3 linked regions of the Canis lupus familiaris genome follow. The protein of the gene in region 3 purifies or fractionates together with the protein of the main gene of each other region. This does not show direct contact. Links are inferred from orthologs where the notes say so. Each region holds a gene or a part of one and is shown on either strand. Other genes may lie near its edges. The genes, in order: NASP, ASF1B and HAT1.

The links.
Region 1: the proteins of HAT1 (region 3) and NASP purify together in Homo sapiens (affinity purification with mass spectrometry; 3 studies listed by BioGRID and IntAct, with this or other methods). This does not show direct contact. The link is inferred for Canis lupus familiaris from reciprocal best matches to the Homo sapiens genes HAT1 and NASP.
Region 2: the proteins of HAT1 (region 3) and ASF1B purify together in Homo sapiens (affinity purification with mass spectrometry; 6 studies listed by BioGRID and IntAct, counting the BioPlex papers as one, with this or other methods). This does not show direct contact. The link is inferred for Canis lupus familiaris from reciprocal best matches to the Homo sapiens genes HAT1 and ASF1B.

What each region holds. Positions count from the first base shown.
Region 1 is NC_049236.1:14,842,698-14,846,348, forward strand, and holds part of NASP (nuclear autoantigenic sperm protein), read right to left. Parts: intron 2,825-3,651; coding exon 2,715-2,824; intron 1,814-2,714; coding exon 797-1,813; intron 1-796. UniProt on the Homo sapiens protein: Component of the histone chaperone network. Binds and stabilizes histone H3-H4 not bound to chromatin to maintain a soluble reservoir and modulate degradation by chaperone-mediated autophagy.
Region 2 is NC_049241.1:48,802,683-48,805,884, reverse strand, and holds the end of ASF1B (histone chaperone ASF1B), read right to left. Parts: intron 2,386-3,202; coding exon 2,209-2,385; intron 1,827-2,208; coding exon 1,623-1,826; 3' UTR 646-1,622; downstream 1-645. UniProt on the Homo sapiens protein: Histone chaperone that facilitates histone deposition and histone exchange and removal during nucleosome assembly and disassembly. Cooperates with chromatin assembly factor 1 (CAF-1) to promote replication-dependent chromatin assembly.
Region 3 is NC_049257.1:16,620,727-16,624,477, reverse strand, and holds the start of HAT1 (histone acetyltransferase type B catalytic subunit), read right to left. Parts: upstream 2,701-3,751; 5' UTR 2,558-2,700; coding exon 2,551-2,557; intron 339-2,550; coding exon 234-338; intron 1-233. Other genes in the region: SLC25A12 (calcium-binding mitochondrial carrier protein Aralar1), read left to right, coding at 2,844-2,888. UniProt on the Homo sapiens protein: Histone acetyltransferase that plays a role in different biological processes including cell cycle progression, glucose metabolism, histone production or DNA damage repair. Coordinates histone production and acetylation via H4 promoter binding.

The sequences.
Region 1 (3,651 bases), on a different chromosome or scaffold from region 3:
TCAAGTCAGACGTGCCAATTATGTAAATGCTAGAGACTTATACATCTTGATGGAATTGAATCAAAATTAAACCAGTAATACTACACAAAGCATCCCACAGTTTATGTTCTAAGTAATAAAAACTTCAGTTTAGCAGCCAAAGCAAGCATGAAATGAGGGGGAAAGCAGCAAGAGGGCTAAATGTTAATTTTTTTGTTATCTTTTGGAGGAGGCTAATTTAAAACTAATGCAAATAAGCCTCTGAACACTTCCTGAAGACTAAAAGTAAAAGAGAGTCACCAGAATTCTTTCACTGTGGTTAACTGCCTTCATTTAAATGGCATGCCTGCTTAAGTGTACCAATTCACTGGATTCTACTGCTCTAATCCTGCTTCCTAAAGTGGAGAATAGGAACCATGTGAACAGTAAATTAAATAATCCAGAGGCATGCAAGTGAACATCCATTCAGCATTCTCTGCCAGCCTAGCCCACTATTTCCCTACCTACTCCACCAGCCCCCATCCACCTTTATTGGCTAGTATGTACAAGTTACTGATAGCTAGCCAAGTCTCAGAAATCACAGAGAAGGCCTATTTTGCAGTTAGTAAAAGTGTTAGTTTATAAGCCTGCTGAAGACTTGCATTTTGACTTGCTCAACTTATCACAATCTTCTTAAGCTATCCCCATTTTCATTTAGCCCTTTTCTAATCCAAAGGCAGACGGAAAATCCTGAATGGAAGGCTGACTTTTACCCATGATTAGTGAGTCAAATCCAGAATGTACTCCACCCACTGCAGCTCTTGCATATCCCGGTTACCTTCACCCTCTTTCATCTGTTCTTCTCTTTCTCGTGTTTCTTCATTAGCAGCTATCTTAACTTTGTCTTCAGGCGATTTCTCAGGAGCCCCCCGGGCTACCTTGGTCTCAACCCCATCTCCAGCTGCCTCAGACTCTTCTATGGACAGCTTAGTTTCCTCCTCCTGGCTAGGAACCAACTCTGCCCTGACCTCCTCCTCTAGTCCTGAGCCATCTTTTGTTTCTGTCAGTTCTTCTACATTAGTCTGTTGTTCAACAGGAGTCTGATCTCCTGCAGCTGACAATCCATTGACTATACCATCCTTAGGGAGAACTGTGGCCTCCTGTCCAGGCTTCTCAGAGACTTCTGACCCAGCTTCTGCAGCTGAGGCCTCTGCAAGCTCTATTGTCACCTTTGGTGACTCTTCAGCAGGAGGCATTTCTTGCCCTACCAGCTGCTCAAGAACAGCCCTTCCTGGCTCATTTTCAGAGGCAGCTGCTACCTGTTCCTTTGGCTCATTCCCACCCCCAGCCACTGGCTTGACTGCTGAATCTATAGGCTCTGCTTCTGCCTCCACTGCAGTATCCTGCTTTTCAAGAGTTGTAACAGGTTGCTCTCCTGAAGCTTCTTTTGGCTTCTCCTCTATGCTCACAATTACTTCTCCCTGCTTCTCCTGACCTTTTTCTCTGCATTCATCTTGCACGTCAGTTCCACAAACTGATTTTCCTTCCTCAGCATCTGGGGCTTCCTGTTCTGGCTTCCCAGAAGCGACCTTGGCTTCATTCAGTCCTTCTGGTGCTGCTATTTCTTTTGCCTCAGTGGTTTCAGTTAACTGATCTGGAGTGGACTCAACTTTTTCCTGTAGTTCCTCTGTAGGCTCACTTATATCCATGTCTTCTCTTCCACCCTTCTCCATTTCATTTTCCTGCTCTTTATCAATTTCAGGCTTTACCAGAGACTGGTCTTCTGGTTTTTTTGCTTCTTCTTTTTCTCCCATGGCGTCATAAACCTGTTCTCTCAACTCTTCCCTTGCTTCCTCTACATGGTTAAAGAACATGAAGCATAAACATGTCTTCGAATTTAGTGATAAAGGCATAAATGGAAACTAAAAATACATTCCCTTTAAACCCTCAAACAGCCTGGCTTAAATTTTAGCAGATGGCCTAAAAAATTATCTGCCCCCTTGAGAAAAGCAAAGGGAATAGTCCCAGATAGCAGAGCAACTTATTGCAAAAGAAACCCAAGCTCCTTAAATATTATTTTTACTTGAGCATTTTGATTATCAGTTAGGTTAAGAGATGCCAAGCTTTATGCTCTCCTCTAAACATTATAAACCTCCAACTAATATGTAAAACTCTAGTAGCCATACTCCACTAAGAAGTTACTTTTCTTAGACAAAAATGTAAAAATACTCCAGAAGTACTGCTATTAAAATAACTGAGCTGGGGATCCCTGGGAGGCTCAGCAGTTTGGCGCCTGCCTTTGGCCCAGGGCGCGATCCTGAGGACCCGGGATCGAGTCCCGCGTTGGGCTCCCTGCATGGAGCCTGCTTCTCCCTCTGCCTGTGTCTCTGCCTCTCTATCTCTCTCTCTATGTCTATCATGAATAAATAAATAAAATCTTTTAAAAAATTAAAATAAAATAACTGAGCTGCGCAGACTTTTAAATATTTGCATTAGAAAAACATTTAAAGTTGCTATATATTTAAAATGTCAATTTAAATGACCACATTTATTGGGGAAATTAAGTTTTCCTTTTACAAAAGCCTGCTGTCAATTTCAGTAATTGGCTATCTCCACACTGTAGTCTCCACCAGATGCAGGTACGACCCAATGCAACTTAGGAGAAACCATCCAGGACAGGGAGAGACCTACTCCCATCACTTGTACACAAGAAATAAACGTCGCATCTCCTGAACGTCACACGCAACTCCACGTACCATCTATGTTATCATTATTTTCTACCAGAGATTCATCTTCTGTTTTTTCTCCTTCCTCCTCTTCCACATGCACACCTTCTAGGGCATTTCCCAACACACCATTCTCCATTCTAGAACAAAAGGACAAAGCACCAAAGGTATGATAGTTAGAACCTAACGGTTTTTCTACAACAGAAACTGTAGTGCTATATTATAAAAGCAACAGTAAAACAATCAAGTGCAGAGAATATAAACTTTTAAGTATTCATTGAAGAAAAGCAGTGAGCAAAACTAATATAAATTAAGGCCATAAAAGCACTCAGAAAAAAAAAAAGCACACCCCTCATCCACCTGCCTAAAAAGCACCAATGACTCTTATCAAAAGATCAATTTAAAAAAAAAAAAAAAAAAGATCAATTTAGGGATCCCTGGGTGGCTCAGCGGTTTAGCGCCTGCCTTTGGACTGGAGTCCCAGGATCGAGTCCCGCATTCAGCTCCCTGCATGGAGCCTGCTTCTCCCTCTGTCTGTTTCTCTGCGTCTCTGTCTCTCATGAATAAATAAAATATTTTTTAAAAAAGATCAATTTATATTCACTTTACCATAGGGCCATATTTCTCAAACCTTGTATCTACCCCGTATTCCTCTAGTTGGCTTAAAAACATTCTGGCAAGACTTTCCTGACAAATCATCAAAATGACCTACAAAATTAAAAAACTTACCAGAACTGGATTAAATGAGGCATAAAATATTTGCTAGTTTGTGTACCCTCAATAGATTTTATTTTGGTTAATAAACTCCAGTGAAAAATACACAACTTTCCAATAGTTAAGACTACCTGTTTTATTTACTAAACATTTTCATACGGTAGTGTTTCCAAATTGTCCTTCATTCAGTCCTTGTTGAGGATGACTGTTCTGAGAGTGCTTTTGAAAATTCTCGCTCTAGGGGATCCCTGGG
Region 2 (3,202 bases), on a different chromosome or scaffold from region 3:
TAAATGTGCCCCAGGGGGCAAATTGCCCCTAGTTGAGAACCACTTTAGTAGAAGACCCAAACAAGGTGCCAAAGAGGGGCAGGGGGCCAGCTGGGCCAGCTGTCTTGACTTAGAGGGGGCTAGGCTGGTCTCAGGTCTATAAGCCAGTTTGCTGCTCTGCCTAAACTTACACAATGTGCACCCTATCAGGCAGCTATCTGCACCCATGTTCCTAGGTCCACCAGTTTCCAGGAAGGAAGAGTCAGGGCACTTCTGTGAATTACAGGGAAATGGCTCACCAGCCAAACCAGTCTACTGGGCTGTATGGTTACAAAGTAAGGTTAAGTAAAATTTAATAAAAGTGTTGCTGCGTGTGTCCTTGGAGCATGATGTTAATTTCTTCCTGTGGGTCAAGGTCAAAGTCTAAAAAATCACTGGTTATGCTCAATCCAGAACAGCTGGGTTGCTTAACTTTTGACAAAGAAAAACCCCTCCCTGAACCTCAGGCTGGAGTACAATTATGTAACCAATTAAGACTAGGGTAAGAAGCTGAGCAAGGGAACAAAGGACGGTCAGCCCACTGGCTGGGGCCAGAGCCCCTTCACGACATCATGAAGAGAGATGGACAAATCTGCTTCAGCCCACCTAAGATAAAAGCAGAATCAGTCTAGAGGAAGTGCTTTTTATTTTTAGATCAACCAAACATATTTAATATAAAAACCTTTTAATATACAAACTGTAATCACAATTGCATCCACGTAGCAGCGAGGGAATGGGGTGTTGCAGGGAGCATGGCAAGGGGAGAGGTTTTCAGGGTCCCTATGGTTTCCTGTGCCTGCAAGAGCATGAGGTCTTCGCAGAGGGCAGATTAAGGCAGGCAGAGGGGCCCTGATGCCAGCATTGAGACAGACTCCACCAACCTGCCACCTTCCCACCATGGCAGCCTCCAGGGAAAGCCAGATCCAATTAAGAGAGGACAGGAAGGTGGTTGTACGGAGTCAACCATCATTCCTTAGCATCCTGCTGAGCATACCTTTGGGAACAGACTTTTCCAGAGGCTGTTGGATTAAAAGACCTAAAAACTATCCTAGGAGGACAGAAATTGTGTCCAAGTCCACCTTCTAACCAAGCTTGGTTCCTTGCCTGTGACTCCAAAAAGCTGGGTGGATTTGCTCAGATGTTTGGGGAGGGACAGGAATGACAGAGCCTTCGGCTCAACAGGCCTGGAGCCTTGCCAGGCGTTGACCAAGAAATCCTCAAGGCAAGCCAGGGAGGTCTGTGGGAAGAGCTCTGGGTCAATGGTACTCACAGGAGCATGGTGGCAGAAAGGCCTGCAGGTGGAATTTATAGTGTGTGTGTAAGACAGAAAAGACACATGTCACAAAGAATTAAAAAGTGAAGTACCTGCTTCTTACAGGCCTGGGCAGTAGAGGTAAAAGCTGATCCTTCTGGGTCAGTGTTGGGAGAGACCTGAGGCCTGCTCCTTCCTCAGAACCACGTCTGGCTTGGGTATAGCTGATGGCCCCAAAGTCCTCTAGATGGCCTCCGTGGGATTGTCCAGGAGGCCCAGCTGCCCTCTCCAGATGTGCTAGGAGACTGGCCACAGTCCCGGCTGGGCCCAGGTAGGGCCTGGATTCCTCGAGTTAGATGCAGTCCATGGAATTCTCGGGTAGGAGCCCAGGAATGCAACCTGGGAGACCCAAGCCTTTGATGGGAGCACAGCTGAAGGGGAGGCCACAGCCCAGGGTGGGGTCCTGGTTCTCTATGGCCTCTAGTCTGTCCATGTTGTCCCAGTTGATGTGGAAGCGGGTCACTCGGGGGTTTGAGGCCAAGATGTTCCTCTGGAGCTGGGGCAGAAAGAGGAATGTCAACCCTTGTCAGCATGCCCCGTCATTACTCCCACAGAGCCAGGGCACCCCAAGACCCTGCCCCAAGGCCAGGAAGAACAGAGCTTACTTATTCCATCACCATCAACAACTATGTGTAGAACTCCCGGGAGTGCCTATGTACTGTGATTTAGGGCTGAGACCTATCTAATCTCAATTCTGCCAGGCGTGCTTCTGAGAAACAAAGACCTTTCTCTCTCTGGTTCTGGTCTGGAGCTCCAAGATCTGAGCAGGGCTTGAAAACCTTAAGAAGTGACCTTGGCTCCCAATTCCAATGACTCAACTCCCCCAGGTGCCAAAGAGCCAGCCTGTCCGAGGCAGGAAGTGCAGAGACAGGCCCCACCTGAGAGAAGTCTGGCTTCAGGGGTGGGTTCTCCCGCAGCTCAGGATTGGGGTATTCATTGTTGACGTAGTAGCCCACACGGATGAACTCCTGTCCATGGTAGGTGCAGGTGATGAGGACCACGGTCACACCCACAGCATCAGTCTCTGGGATGAGGGATGGGTTGGGGGCATCAGCCTAGAGGAAACACACCCCGTGCCTTAGCATTGATCGTACAGCCACACCTCTACCACTTAACACAATGATTTTCAAGCAACACATATTTACTGAGCCAAAAGGTATGGTCTCTGACAACAGGAGTTTCTAATCGAGTGGGGAAGACACAATCAATCTTGCAAATGCCTGTAAAATGCTCAGTGTGACAAGTGCCACAAAGAAGTAAATGTAGTGCTGAGAAGTGTAGTGAGGGGGGGTGGAGGGGTGGCATAAGATAAGGCTGTACAAGTGGGCAGGTAGGGACCAGGGCGCCCAGGGTCTTTTGGGCCAGTTAAGGGCTTGGGAAGGAGCAAGAATGTCTAACAGGAGGTAAGTGCTGCATCACTCCTGTGGTCTGTAAAGAATGGCATGCTGTGATGGGAGGAGGGCAGTTGTGGGAGCAGAGACTGGGCAGGTTACAGTCAACCCAGAGTGCAGACAGCGATTTACACCAGGAAGGAGAGGACAGAGGCAGACACATTTGGGGTGTGTTGTTATGGATAGGACCCGCTATATAACTGGTACAAAATAAAACCAAAACGAGACATGGGGTCCCTTATTCACAAATTAGCAAGTTTTAGCCAGCGACAGCAGAACGTTATACCAGGTGCCGGGCCCTGTGTGGCTGCATGAGCTGAATGCTCAGGAAGCCAGCCTTGCTCGTGGAGTGGAGCAGGTGGGCTTGCTGGTGGCCTGGCTACAGGTGGGTGAGGCGTTTGGGGATGGGATGAGGTTGCCTGGACTGGGGTGGGAGCGGTAGACTGGGAGGTAGGCAAGGATTTGATTTTTATATATTTAA
Region 3 (3,751 bases):
TACGCTTATCATTTTTTGCCATGCTGTCCTTCCTAGATGTAAACTCCGCCACCTCTTAAACATCTACCCACTCCATGACATAATGGACTGAATAAAATCTGAATGTGTTCAATACATGCAGAAAACTACACATTTACATGAACTGCTCTTACATAAAATTCTACCTCAAATTAAAAAAAAAGATTATATATGAACACACAGTACAGAATACCACTTAGAAATAGCATACATACCTAATTTTAGTTCAATTGCTGTGTTGGTGTTACATTTGTACTCCGCCAGCTTCTTCTCCACTGCACTCTTGTACTCAACCAAAAATTTCTCCATAGCACCAAATCCTAAGGAAAAGTTTTCAGAAGGTCTTGTTGAAATGGTTTAAATAGTCAAACCCACAGAGAGGGTTCTTATTAGGAGTGGAATAATAGGAAAAAATTTTAATGCTAATAGATCATAAAAGCACAGGTCATTCTCCATATATTCCTAAATAAATGTATTGAGTAGGACTGCCTTGTTATACAACAGGAAAAACATCATTTTTGCCAGAGGTGTATGAACGAGGCTTGCTTTACATAAATTAGTAAATCCAAAAAGTAACATGACTACTGACATTTCTTTATATTTAATACTAACATATATTATCTGCTAGGACCTATACCTAAGCAGCTTTTTAAAAATATAAAAAAGAGTACCACTGCTCAACCAAGACCTAAGATGAGAATATCCTTTGATAATTACAATAGCATTTTATCTCTAATACTTGAAAACTTCTACCCAGAGTATTTTAGATCAACTATTAAAAAACCATCAATTGATAATGCATAGATAATCTCAGGAAGGACAGACAAGAAACTGGTAACCATGGTTATCTCTAGGATAAGAGAGAAGGAATGGGGACAGGGTTAGGAAAGAAAATTTTCAGTGCATTAAACAAATGTTTTTTTAACCATAGGTGTACAAAGTCATAAACTACAGGCTACTGGAAACCAAATGGTTTTACTAGATCGTAGCTACCCATCAATATATGTAACAAGTAATTAAAAATGGAAGCAATCATTATTCAGATAAACTTTCAAGCAAAGATGACAATAAACCTCCGGACAAAATGAAAAAAAAAATTTGTAGAAATTCAGGAAAAAGGAAATCATGTGCAGAAATAAACATGCCATGAACTTCAGCAGGTGGTTAAAACACACATAAACAGAAAATAGGGAACATTTGAGGCAGTCTAAGATGAAGTCTGTTGTCAGAATTCCTGGAATCGCATCCAGCCTTCGTCACTTAACTTACTGGGATGTGTGAACTAGAACTAGAGCACATTGCTTGACTCCTCTGACCCTAATCTATTAAATTGGGATAACAGAACCCACTTCAAGGAGTTATATATAAACCACAAAACTTGACGTGTTTGAAATCATACATTGGCTTAAATCCCCACAGATCTATTAGATACTATATCCGCCCCATTTCATATTAAAACACTCAGGCTTCGGGAGAGGTTTACTTGCTTAAGTGCACCCAACTATTTAAGTGGTGAAGCACAGGTTCAAATTTAGGGGTAAGTCTTACTACGTGCACACCGCACAAAATACATATGCCCCCCTCTTTTACAGCGCCAGTGCACCCCCAAGATCCCAGAGTCACTCTCTGGTAGAAAAAATCCTTCTTTAAATATCTATAGAGCTCACGTGATAGCCTGTCTATCCAGCACATCCGTGGAACTGTAGTAAGACTACTAGGAAGGCACTGGGGGCGGAAAAAAAAGTACAAACTGTCCATCACTGCAAAAGATATGTAACTGGGGGGGGGGGGAGTATACACTCACACCAGAACAGTCTTAATAGTAATGATTAGTATTAAACGCTGTAAACTAAAGAGACTTTAAAAAAATAAAAATAAAAAAAAGAGAATTGAACGTGAAAATCATAGCATAAAATACTAAGAGAAGTTTAGATGAAGGAAGCATGCGAGGACCATCTTTCTCAAAGGAAATCTGAATCGATCCCAGGAATATTAAAGCGCGAGAGATTTAAGAAAAAAAAAAAAAAAAGACGACTGCGAAGACTCAAAGGGGAGCCCCCGGTGCGGGGCAAGGCAGCGATGCGCTAGCTCAGAAGCGGACTGTCGTCGAAGGGAGGTGGAGGGAGACCTGGAGCAGGAGGGCGAGCCCAACCCGAAACCCGGCGGGCGGGAACACAAGCAGCCCGCTGCGGCTCGGGCGGCAGGGGGGAAAGGGAACGAGCGGATAAGCAGGCCGCGAGGATCGGGCAGCTTGCGAGCCACCCCGCGACGCTCTCCCCCGGCGGCCGCGGCCCTCGGCCGGGGCCGAGCTCTCCGCAGACGGCGCAGCACCCCGACTAGTTGGGGGCGGGGGCACGAACCTCGGCCGACAGGGAGCTGGGCTGAGAGTTCCGTGCTCTCCGGCTGCCGCAAGCCTTCTGGAACCCAGGCCGGCGCCCGAGAGTTCCAGGCGGGCACTGTCACCACCGCCTCGGCGTTCTTCCCCAAACCTGCCCGCCCCCTCCCCTTGGTAAACTTTTCCCGGGAACTTACCCGCCATTTCCGAGCTGCGAGCACCCGCGGCTGAGGAAGGACGAATCAACCCGCGCGCTCCCTGGCCGGAAGTGAGCTCATTGCGTGACGCACATCCCCCCGCCCACCCCTGGTAGGCCCGCTAGCCAATGAGAGGAGGGGACTCGAGGCGCCGGGAGGTGGAAGCGCCTCGGGAGGCGGGGCCGACTCCGCGGGGAATGCTCCGACCGTTGCCTAGCCACGGCGAGCGCCGTCAGCCGCGTTGCAGGCCTGAACCCGCGGAGGAGGCCGCGTGAGGGGCCGTCTCTAGAAGGATGCGCGCGGGCTCCCGCGAGGACAGCTCTGGGGTTGCAGACCCGGTAATGCTGTTGTCTGTTTCCCCAGCCAGGGTTCGGAGACTGGTAGTAAAACTTACCCCTTTGGCCTGTACAGACACCTGAGGCCTAGGTATACATGTAGGTAAAATGTGGGGCTTGACTTGCAGGTGCGGGAGACATTTACGTTTATTTTGTTTCTATTTTTGCCATAGATTCCCGTCTGACATTGTTCTTCTTTGCTCATGCGTTTTCCTTGCAGCCCACAGTGTAATAGTCAGGGATCCTACTATCACACTAACGGTTACTAGGCAACCATTTGGAGCGCGGAAATTGTTACCTAATAATACCGCAAGCCGCCCGCTCTGCCCTACCTGTCTGTCTCAAGTCCCAGTGGCCTGAACCACATCACGGGATGCTTCCTGATTCGGGCCTTAGGGCTTATTAGTACCTCATTAACTGTTGACACTTGTTTGTCCCAGAAGATATTTAGATATCCATAAATACTCCCCAAGGTTGTCTAGACCCTTAAAATGCCCCGTCTCAATGAATGTTGGTTAATAAGCTTTACAGTGCTATTGCAGAGAGCTAAAATGGACCTGTGGGGGGCAGCCCGGGTGGCTCAGTGGTTTAGCGCCGCCGTCAGCCCAGGGCGTGATCCTGGGACCCAGGGATCGAGTCCCACGTCGGGCTCCCTGCATGGAGCCTGCTTCTCCCTCTGCCTGTGTCTCTGCCTCTCTCTCTCTCTCTCTCTCATTAATAAATAAATAAAATATTTCAAAATAAATAATCTTTCAAAATGGTGAGACTTGTTTCTTTACAAAACCACCTAATTTGTAGGTCAGCCAATAGCTGACCAGCAATTATGCTTATAAGAAAATAAGTAACTCTGAGAAAGATTAGTCCTG